Linked DNA regions of Schizosaccharomyces pombe. The main gene of each other region encodes a partner of the protein of the gene in region 2 in a complex. Each region holds a gene or a part of one and is shown on either strand. Other genes may lie near its edges.

Region 1 (5,617 bases), 810 kb from region 2:
TTAGAAGCTCGATTAGAGGGTCATAAAGAAGGTGTTTGGGCTGTCAAAATACATGAGAATACACTTGTATCTGGTTCGATCGATAAAACTGTTCGCGTTTGGAACATAGAGAAAGCTAAATGTACGCACATATTTAGGGGACATATTTCCATCATCAGATGCTTAGAGATCTTAGTTCCGAGTCGTCTTATTCGCCATGGAGTTGAAATTGTTGAACCAGATCAACCGTACATTGTCAGCGGCTCTCGGGATCATACACTTCGGGTTTGGAAGCTTCCAAAAAACACGGATCCTCCTTATCTTCCAGATAATACAAACTCTATTGACCGTTGGGAGAAGAACCCGTATTTTGTACATACTTTGATAGGACATACAGACTCTGTACGAACTATATCCGGCTATGGTGATATACTTGTGAGTGGGAGTTATGATTCTTCAATTCGCATTTGGAGAGTTTCAACAGGGGAATGTCTTTACCATCTGCGGGGTCATAGTCTTCGTATATATAGTGTTTTATATGAACCAGAAAGGAATATTTGCATAAGCGGTAGCATGGATAAGTCCATTAGGGTTTGGGATTTATCGACAGGGACTTGTAAATATGTGCTTGAAGGCCATGATGCCTTTGTTACGCTTCTTAATGTATTCCAGAATAGGTTGATATCAGGTTCTGCTGACTCCACAATTAGAATATGGGATTTGAATACTGGGAAACCATTAATGGTTTTGCCGTCTAATTCAGGCTACATTAGTAGCTTTGTGTCAGATGAACACAAAATTATTAGTGGTAATGATGGTTCTGTAAAGTTATGGGATGTTAGGACTGGAAAGCTGTTACGTTTTCTATTAACAGACCTCACAAAAATATGGCATGTCGATTTTGATGCTATGCGTTGTGTGGCTGCAGTGCAGCGTGATGATCAAGCATATTTGGAAGTTATTAATTTTTCCGGATCAAGACCGTAGAAAGTTTCATTTTAACAATATTTAAGAAGACATAATTAGAGTAGTGTCTAACTATTTACATCAGCTACTAACACATATTAAATGTATACAATGTAAAATTAACAGCCAAAGCCTATCAAAAGTAAATAAGTAACGAAGGATTGAATAAATTATGCTGGTTGGTTTTGTAACTGGTATTGAATTAACATTGGGAAAAACTTCCAGATAGAAAAATCCGGCCAGTAGAAATCGATGAATTTTATCTCCGTATTTTTGTGACACTGATAAAATTAGTTGAATATCTTTGACTAGAAAATTAGGAGAATTTTTACTTACCTGCCATAACATAAAATCAGATAGACGCTCCACACCGCTAGTGCGAATCAACAAGTCTAAAGGAAGACTATCTTTTATCAATAGGTTTTTTTCAAATATATCTTCATCTATATCTTCTGGAGTGATTGTACCATCTTCTGCCATTTTTACTATTGATTGCACAGAAGTAGCAATTTCATGTCGAGAAGTGTATGGAAAGCAAACATTTAATGTTGCCCTAAGATGTCAATTAGCAAAATAAAAATTTGAAAAATTTCACATACTTTGTGTTATGTTTTGTAATTTCCACAGCCTTTAGAGCAGTTTCTAAAACGTCAGGTTGCAACCTGCTAAGATCGCCAACAATGCGAATACGGATCCCATACTGATCAACCAAATCACCATGAGCAGTAATTTGCGTTAAGCTGTTTTTTGCAATCTCCATTAACATATCAACTTCATATTTAGATCGCTTAAAATTTTCAATGGAGAATGTGAAAGCCGATACTTCTTTAACTCCTAACTTCAGACACACTTTTAATAGCTTACGCAGGGTTAGTTAATGTACCAAATTGTGCAGAACGTAGACGGATACCAATGCGCAAAACATGGAGAAACGGTACGTTTAACCTTCTATTAATGTTCTTTAAACTTACAGATTTTAAAGCTTCAAAACCTGAGCTATGACCCTCGATAGTTTCCATCCTTCTTTGACGAGCCCACCGTCGATTGCCATCCATTACAAAGGCTATGTGTTGTGGTACTTTGCCACGTTTAATTGTATTTATCATCATCGTTTCTAATTGATCAAGTGTCCATTGTAATGGAGGACAGTGAATAAACCAGCCTGATAAATTACCCATATTGTCAAGATATTTTGTCAATTCTTTTCTTTTCCTTTATAAATGCACGCTAAATATCAAAGAGAAATAATTATCTTGATAAACAATTATTTTCAAAAAACGATTAGATGTTTTTGACGCTTCTATAAAACACTCAGGTTATCCGGTTCTAGATATGTTTTATAAGTATAATTACCAAGCACGCTAGAAAAGGATTTTTAGCTAAGGAAATATACTTTCAATCGTAAACGAATGGAACAAAGAGACGCTAGTTTAAGACCAAACGCTTTTGTATTTTTTTTTAAAAATCACGAAAGAAATATTATTTTTTGTACAAATAAGTAAGACAGACAAAATTCAAACAAAACCACAAAATACTGTTTTCAAAGTGAGACGTGCGACCTTTGGGTCTAACTAGTCTAACGCAAGTGTCTCAGAAATGAAGCCAGTTCATTTAAGAGTGTCGTTAAGCCTCCTTATTTTTAATACCATCCTTAAGTTACGCTAATTAGAATCAAAATATTACAACTAAAGACTTTTCGCTCAAACCCTCTACCAGCACTTTCCTGTTCAAAAGATGAGGCCTATCATTTTACAGGGTCATGAGCGTCCTTTGACTCAAATAAAATATAATCACGATGTAGGTTTAATAACCGTCCATTATATGTGGAAAATTTACTAATTTTTGTGTGTAGGGTGATTTATTATTCTCATGTGCCAAGGATAAAGTGATTAATGTCTGGTTTTCACACAATGGTGAACGCCTAGGTACATATGAGGGTCATACTGGTGCAATTTGGACTTGTGATATTAATAGTACGTGAAAATTGGTGGTGATGTATGTTGGATTAAGACATCTAAAGGTATACGGATTATGGAAGTATAAGGAAACACGAATAATGAAACATATCATGACTCTAATAAATGTATTTTTTTTATTAGTCGTCCGATTGCAGATGGTTATACTCGTGATCCACGATTCTGAGTTGGCGTAGTACTTAAAGTTAAATATGCATGGTGCATCTCCTTTACTTATATTAATGCTACGTTTACCTCACTTCACTTCCTCGTGGAAAGCATTTAAACTTCTTTTAAATCCTTTTCCTTCTTCTTGATGCCTCAAATCCAACTAGATCATCTGTTCCTTTTCCAATGGTTACTAACTGAAACAGAAAGTAGCACTTTAATGGTTAGTGGAGCCGCTGACAATACCATGCGTCTTTGGGATGTTAAAACAGGAAAGCAGTTGTACAAGTGGGAATTTCCTACTGCTGTCAAACGTGTTGAGTTCAACGAAGATGATACCCGTATTCTTGCTGTTACCGAGGAACGTATGGGTTATGCTGGTACCGTCACTGTTTTCCGTGTTCCTATTTCGGAAAGCGATGCCGCTGCTGAAACCCCCCTTTACGTTATTACTACTCGTGAATCTAAAGCAACGGTCGCTGGATGGTCTTACTTGAGCAAGTTTCTCTTTACTGGTCATGAAGATGGCTCCGTTTCCAGATACGATGCTATAACCGGAGAATTCGTTGAATCTAAACAAGTTCATAATTCTGGTTCTACTATTACTGATCTTCAGTTTTATCCTGATCGTACTTACTTCATCACTTCTTGCAAGGATACGACTGCTAAAGCTATTGATGTTGATTCTTTTGAAGTCATCAAAACATACCTTACTGATACGCCTCTTAATACTTCTAGTTTTACTCCTGTCCAAGACTTCGTTATTTTAGGAGGTGGTCAAGAAGCCCGTGATGTTACTACTACTGCTGCTAGACAGGGTAAATTTGAAGCACGTTTTTATCATGCGATTTTAGAAGAAGAGTTAGGCCGCGTTAAGGGTCATTTCGGTCCTATCAACACAATAGCTGTCCATCCCAAAGGAACCGGTTATGCTAGTGGTGGAGAAGATGGTTATGTTCGGGTGCACTTCTTCGATAAAAACTACTTTGACTTCAAGTATACATTGTAGGTTAATTTTATTCAAAAAACTGTTGATAGTATAGTAATGGACAACGGAACTTTTTTCCAAAGATGTATCATTTTCGTTTAGGGAGCATTATATGAAAAATAACCTTCTATGAGTACAAGAGTTTTTTAATAAATTCCATTCAAAATTCAAATGTTTTAAAGTGAAAAGTAATGTAATTGTCATATTCCGTAAAGCAACTAACTTATCAAACGCTTCTTTTAACGAGCTTTTGAAACATGTTTGAGGAGAACAGCCCCAGAAATTATAATTGCTCCAAACCATATGTAGTTGTCTATCTTGCTGTAGGCTGGAGTCGTTATTTCTCGATAACTAGGTGTTTTTTTTGGGAAGTATCCCAAAAGTCGGTTGATGAGATTTTCGTCGAGCATGGCAAGTTCCTCCAAAGACCACAGTTCGCAAATCTCAATCATCCATCTCATTCTTTTGCGACTGTTTTCAGGTTCGGGAACAATGTCTCGTAATTTTTGTCGTAAAAGGCCAGTTTTTTCCAATGCCATACCAGTAGCTGGATTGATTGAACTTTCGATTTTTTTTCGTATTAAACTGGCAAGTTTTGGACCTTTACCATTGGTGCTAACCATAATTTGTAGAGGGCCGTTACGGATTTCAGACCCAAAGTAGAAATCACATTCAGGTGGAATATCCGCCGCATTGACCGGGATTTTTTTGCTTTTGCATAACTTATAAATTTCGGAAGACAAGCTGGGATCATCTATGGCTGTAAGTACCATGTTTACATCGTCAGACAAATCTTCGACTAGAAATCCCCTGTCTCGCCATTCAACTTGCTTCTCCTGTATTCTCCAAGCCACTTCTTTACAAAGACCAGCTTTTGGACTTACAACGATAACATGGGCATCCGCATTCAAAACATGCAATATACGCCCAGCTGCCACAACGCCACCTCCAACAATTAATACTTTTTTACCTTGTGCACGCCAAGCAATAATTAATGATCTAAAGCTTAGATTAGCCTAAAAATTACCTTGAGATACATCAAAAAACTTTGCTAGCTTTCATTTTGTATGCTTTGCTAATTTTTCAATTCTGTGTAGATGAAAGTTAAGATACTAAAAAGCTGAAAATGATTTATAGAGCCTTGTAACTTCATAAAGATGCTTGACTTACCCACCAGGCTGCACAGACTGATATTTTGAAGCCATTATTCAAATTTTATCTTAACCAAGTGTAGGTGTTCCTGTATACTTGAGAATTATAGTATCGCCAATTACAATTCGACATTCAGTATCTGCTTCCCTATACGGGTTAATAGTTGGGAATCCTATTACGCGTATACTATTCGTTTATTTAAGACCTAAATTTTCCAGTGAATTAAAACTACCTTGTGAATAAAATCCCGAGGACGTGCAAATTTTTGAAACTATTTCATAGCACCAACTAAGCATATTCCTATACATCATAGATTAATTAATATGCTAAATTTATATATTTTTTTCATTGACAAGAAATATCCATACAAAAGTAATAGATGAAAGTGGCTCTTAGACTACTTAGTCGT
Region 2 (5,968 bases):
CCCATGCTTGAGGATCCCATCTTTGACATTTTTTATTTTGGTGGTATCACTATGGTGGTCGGCTATTCCGCGGGCAATGCATCTTCAGATCCTCGGAATACTAATGTGCTTATGTTGATTGCGAGTTTTTATTTGAATTGCAGGCTTTAGCATTGTCTTGTATTATATCCATTAACTAAGGATTTCAAATTTCTTTTTAATCCAAAAAATGTCACAATGACTACATGTTTACTTTAAGTGCTCAATGAGGATATACAAGGAATATACTCAGAAGGTTCAATAAATATTTGAATAAACGTATTTTATATTATACAAAAAAATTGAAATTAAGCAGATTCCAACCTTTTTTTATATTTTTTTCATTGCCTTTTCTGTAAACTCTCATCAATTTTGTTAATAATATCAATGATAATTTCGGAAGCAGGCGATTCAGGACATTCATCAATAAAGCTTTTTCCAAAATCACATGAACGTGCAATCAATGGGTCCAAAGGAATTTTACCCAAGAATGGTAGTCCCATTTCTTTTGCTAACGCTTCACCTCCTCCTGTAGTAATAGTGAATATATTAGACTTGCCTTTGCAAGAAGGACATACAAAACCGCTCATGTTCTCCACTAATCCAAGGATAGGGATGGACGCCTTTCTGCAAAAATCTATTTCTTTACGGACGTCTTGAAGAGCAACCTCTTGAGGAGTAGTAACTACAACAGCACCATCAATTCCGGAATTTTTAAAAAATTGAACCAAAGATAAATGTTCATCGCTAGTTCCCGGAGGAGTATCAACAATCAAATAGTCTAAATTTTCCCAGTTAACGTCTTTGATGAATTGTTTGATCAGCCCGTTTTTTTTGGGCCCCCTCCATATAACAGATGAATCTTCGCTTGGTAATAAAAATCCAATTGACATAACAGCCAAGTTAGGGCATACATAAATAGGGGACCAGCCTTTGCTTGATTGATGGGCTTCCTCCTTTTCAACACCCATTATTCTCGGAATTGAAGGCCCGCAAATATCCACGTCCATTAACCCGATCTGCTTGTCTTCTTCAAGCGATAACCCCCATGCTAATTGCGAAGAGAATGTGGACTTTCCAACACCTCCTTTACCTGATAAAACAAGAATTTTGTGCTTGATTTCTTTCAAGCGTTCTACAACCAATGGTAAATCTGGATCTTCTCCACGAGGTGCTGAAGCGCAAATTTGTTGATTAGGGCATCCTTCACATGCTGATGCAGTTCCTGCATTTTCAGATGACGGTCCGGGGCAATGCTCTGGTGCATCTAAAGGAACAGTTTCTTGGATTTGCATAGAAAAGCCAATATTAAAGCAAATGCTTAGTAAAAGTCTTTATTTCACGTGCTTAGTGAACTTTTAGTAGCTATTTTTGTAAACCACGTATGGTAAATTATAAGTGTAATCCGGTGTAAATTCTCTTCAAACGAATTTTTGCTAAAAGCTTTACCTCTTGTTTTACCACAATATTCTGACTAAGCTTGAAACCGTTTTACGATCTCTTGGCTAGTGGCAATGAGCTATATCGGTTTTCTACTAATCGAGTTCTAATTTTTTTACCGTAATACCCTAAAGTGTGTTAAAAGCAATGTTCATGAAAAAAATCACGTTGGAAGCATCGAAAATCAGATATTTCCAAATGAATTAAACGGCACTTAATTTTCCTTCGCTTCATTTTTACTATTCCAACAAATACATTACTTTACACTTAGCTTCTAATTTACCGAGAAACAGTTCATAAGATTAAAAAATAAAGAAACCGAAAATATAAAACCGATTTAAAGATCTTAGATTTGCACATGTAATTGAGTATTATACATGTAACCTTTTTAATGAACTTTCTACATCCGTCCTTTTTAAGCAGTAGAAGAAGCTTCAAGGGAGGGTCCAGCAGCTTCTTCAAAAGTGTTGGGTGGAACAGAGTACAAGCGTAAAATAGGTCTGTTGGGATCCTTTACAAGGACATATTTTCCATCAGGCATTTTCAAACAGACATCTGCAATAGTACGAACAATACCCCAACCATTAGACAAACTTAAGTTCATTTGGGAAGCCAAATCAGCAGGCTTATAAGCTACAACACCCAAAATGCCGTGGTGCTGAGCGTCACGGGCATTTGAACGACTGACAAAACCAACCTTCATGCTATCAACACCAGCCAATAAAGCTTCGACAGTCCAACGGGCAAGCTTGCAACTATTGTTCTTCATTTCAGTGGCAAACACAGCACCTCTTTGACTTTCGAGCTTGGAACGCCAATCCACAGAACCAGTAACATTTGTAAATTTGGGATCGTACTCATTAAGAGCCTTGATAGAAATGTATTGAACATCGTTCGCAGGATTTTTAACATAACCGTCAACTTCGGTACGAACCATTAGCTTAACAGGCTTTTCGTCTGTCTCGAGAGAAAGATCAACATCCCGATAGATATAACCGTGAGCAGCCAATGGCTCACTTTCTTCCTTAGAATTATAGAAGGGATTGGGATGAGGTAATTTATATTTCTCTTCTTCGGTTTCACGTAAAGCTTGGACGCAGAAGTTTTGGTTAATGTACGTAGCTTCGACAGAAAGGGCTCCAGGAGAATTAACACCTTCGCGGTTGTCAGCGTCCATGGGAGAATCGTATGCGTTTTCATTGACAGTGAGATAATCAAAAGGTCCGCCTTCACGTTTGTCAAAGAATAGCTTTCCACTTTGGTGAGTAATTACAATATCCCAGGGATACACTGAGCGAGTTGAACACATCAATAAAGACAAAATGGAATCCGTAATGAAAATGTTAGCATCACTATTAAGAGCGAGTTTTTGGATAACGGGGTCTTCAGTAGTGGTAGGGTTGTAATGAACACGGTCCAAGGCTTGTAATGGTTTTTCTGATTTAACATGAATCTTGTCAAAAGATTTGTCATAAGGATAAATATAACCATATGAATCCACAGTAACAGGAGCAGCAGCAGCTAAATTGAGCTTAGATAAATGGCTGAACTCAACCTCGTCAAGAAGCTGCCAGTCGTCACCAACAGTAACACTGGCGTTGCGAAGACGTTGATGTTTATCATAATCCTTCCAACCAAACCGACGACCTCTTGCTCCTCCAGCGCCTGAGGATCTAGAAACCACTGTATCACCTGCACCTCTTCCACCAGAAGAACCGTAGCGACCGCCACGACCACCTCGTTGAACGTTTTGTCCTCTACCGCGAACCTTCAATAAAGTGCCGCCGTTGCGAGCGGAAGTGCGTGTACGATTGACAGAACCACGATCGATCACCGAGAAACTGGATTCGTCCTCCGAATGCTGATAACCAAAAATGGACGACGCGCCATAACCATAAGTTTGATATTGGTCACGGAAACGACCAGCAAATGCTCCTTGACGTCCACGTTGTTCACGTCCATCTTTAGGTTGATCAACAGACCAATCTGCAATTTTTCCAAGACGGTCACCTTTACTAAAAGGAGCATAAGGAATATCACCTCCTATCTGTTCCGTTTCAGGAGGTCCCCATGCTGATTTTACGGGTGCTAACTCAGGCAATTTAAATCCAGTTGCCATTTGGGAGTGGTGAAGTTTTCTTCGAAGTGGACGCCAGTATAGTGTGCAAACGAACTGGGAGACGCTAAAACACCAAAGCCAACAATGGTAATATTTGAAGTTCTAAAGCTTTATTTGTAATACAAAAGTACTTAAATGTAATATATATACTTTTTGGTTCGTGAAAAAGTTAAATGTTATACATTTCCTTTTGCAATCAAGGTGCTATATTTGTAGAAAAACTACATCTATTAACAATTAGTATATGTTACTGTATTTATCAAACTACTTCTTTATTTGTGAACCCACATGCCTATTCAGAAGACGATATGTGGAAATCTCAACCACTCACTACATTATAAAACTATAGTAGGTAGAATTACTTTATCATACTAGCAGGTTATATCAGCACTAAATGTTATTAAATTAAAAAATGGGAGAAATTGATATTGAAATAAAAGATATGTTATGCTATAATTTAAAACTGATTACGACATCAGACTTTGCCTTTATAGTCATTGTCTCAAGGCTTAAATGTTTCTGACAAAAGCATGTTTTAGAAAATTTTAATTTCGTCAACGCTGTCTTTTGAAGAAAGAAAAAAATGAACGCCAAGGTTCTCAGACATTCTCTCTTTTCTGTCATCACATGTCGCATAAAAAATATACACATCTAATCCTATTAAAACAATTGTTTGCGAAGAAATTAATGTATAAAAACGGAAAGCACCAAATATTAAGCAGTGTTAAATGACCGCAAAAGCTGCTAAGTAGCAAAGGAGAGAGTTTAGTGCATCACATGATAAAGGATCGCATTGACAGCCTAGCACACGCAAGGAAAAAGAATGATAAAGTATGAATTTAAAATATTAATAATAATGATGGAAATATGTGAGGTCTCTATTAAAGAAACGGAACTAACTTCCTCCAACCCCGTTTTCTTTGCGCTAATCCCTTATAATGATTTATTTCATCTAGGCAGTCCCTTCCATAATTACAGCCTGCCAAGTTTACCAAGAAGTCTCCTTCTTTTTGGTTATAAAAGAAACGAGGATTTTCACCTTCACCAGCACAAGCACCTGGAGGATATGAATTGAAAAGGCGAAGAGGAACGAATCCCATGCCGCTTCGAAGCCAAGCATTATTCTCGTAGAAGTACTCAATTGCATTTTGCTCATCGTGAGGCCAATCCATGTGCTTTTGCCCATAGACTACTGGATCCCAAAGGAAGTCCATCAATCTGCTAGTCCAATCACTTCGACGAACCAGAAAAGAACCCAAACTGAAACCGTTGCAATCTTGCCCTAAAATAAAGTTGATATCTTCACTATAGTCAACAAATGGAATTTCGTGGAAATTTTTTGGATTGAACTCCATGCTATCAGTAATATTCCTGGTCGCAATATGGTCAAGTCTGTTAATAATAAGCTTTTCAAGAGAATATTGAGGTTCCATGATGAATGTTGTTAAATCGACCCACCAAAACCATTCAGCATGAGGGTATTTCTTCATGGCTTCCATGATATAATCTGCTTTTTCCCAAGATTCACGCCATTCATGAGCATATCGTCTCTTTAAGCCTGTGCTCTTCACAAAGAAATGATATCCGTGCCTTTCAGCGTATTTCTTCTTGTTCTCCGTTGAAATCTTCTCCAGCTCCCATTGTCTGGGACTTTTTACATCTAAAACGCCACCTCCGATGTTATTGACAAATATCATAACAACATTACTCTCTTTGGGACGCGTCAAGAGTGTATGCTTTAAAAAGTAGCCTGAGCAGAGCAACAGTACCACAAAGACGAATAACCTATGTAGATGCGTCTTGGTAAAATACTTCCTTCTAGTATCACCTTCTTTGGAATCAAGTACATTGGAAGTGCCTGGCTTAGGGTAAGGAAAGGATTTAAACTTAGCTAATGCTTCTGACTTCTTTTTGGGGTTCCACATTTTTTAATATAATATAAGACTCGACGTTTACGTTAATTCTTCTTATTAACCTTTAAATTATATATTTTCGAATGATAATATGACTACGGCAATGCCGTTTGAGGTTTCACACAGAACTAGGCTGTTTGGCAAAGGCGAAAGTCGTGAGCAAGTAACGTCCCAGTGTATCAAAGCTGGCATAGCCTTGTCGTCGAGTAAATAGCCAAAGTACGCGATAACGTCGGTAAAGTTAAGTAGATTCTGATTGCATAATTTTATTTATTTGTTTACTCAAAAAGTTTTAGCACTTTTATTCTCGCGTTCATCTACTCAGATATGCTAAATAAATTAGCGATAGAAATTTTCCATAAAATATGTCAGTTGCAAAGACTCTGACAGATTTCTCATGGTTTGACGATGAAGGTATTTAGTTTAGTAAACAAATAATTATCAGCTACCAACTAATTTAACAATTCTGTTTTAGGAA

What was found.
Region 1: moe1 (region 2) and sum1 share a complex: the UniProt entries of both Schizosaccharomyces pombe proteins name them as parts of the eukaryotic translation initiation factor 3 (eIF-3) complex.

Annotation. Positions count from the first base shown.
Region 1 is NC_003424.3:5,356,277-5,361,893, forward strand, and holds sum1 (translation initiation factor eIF3i), read left to right. Parts: upstream 1-2,647; 5' UTR 2,648-2,679; coding exon 2,680-2,742; exon of another isoform or gene 2,743-2,797; coding exon 2,798-2,918; exon of another isoform or gene 2,919-3,274; coding exon 3,275-4,077; 3' UTR 4,078-4,228; downstream 4,229-5,617. Other genes in the region: F-box/WD repeat protein Pop2, read left to right, coding at 1-966; rer2 (cis-prenyltransferase), read right to left, coding at 1,116-1,226, 1,282-1,498, 1,545-1,804, 1,917-2,123; met8 (siroheme synthase), read right to left, coding at 4,296-5,055, 5,227-5,261. UniProt on the Schizosaccharomyces pombe protein: Component of the eukaryotic translation initiation factor 3 (eIF-3) complex, which is involved in protein synthesis of a specialized repertoire of mRNAs and, together with other initiation factors, stimulates binding of mRNA and methionyl-tRNAi to the 40S ribosome.
Region 2 is NC_003424.3:4,549,460-4,555,427, reverse strand, and holds moe1 (translation initiation factor eIF3d), read right to left. Parts: upstream 3,589-5,968; 5' UTR 3,578-3,588; coding exon 1,874-3,577; 3' UTR 1,687-1,873; downstream 1-1,686. Other genes in the region: rex1 (putative ribonuclease H70), read right to left, coding at 1-5; Fe-sulfur cluster assembly ATPase Nbp35, read right to left, coding at 360-1,313; gmh5 (alpha-1,2-galactosyltransferase), read right to left, coding at 4,459-5,502. UniProt on the Schizosaccharomyces pombe protein: mRNA cap-binding component of the eukaryotic translation initiation factor 3 (eIF-3) complex, which is involved in protein synthesis of a specialized repertoire of mRNAs and, together with other initiation factors, stimulates binding of mRNA and methionyl-tRNAi to the 40S ribosome.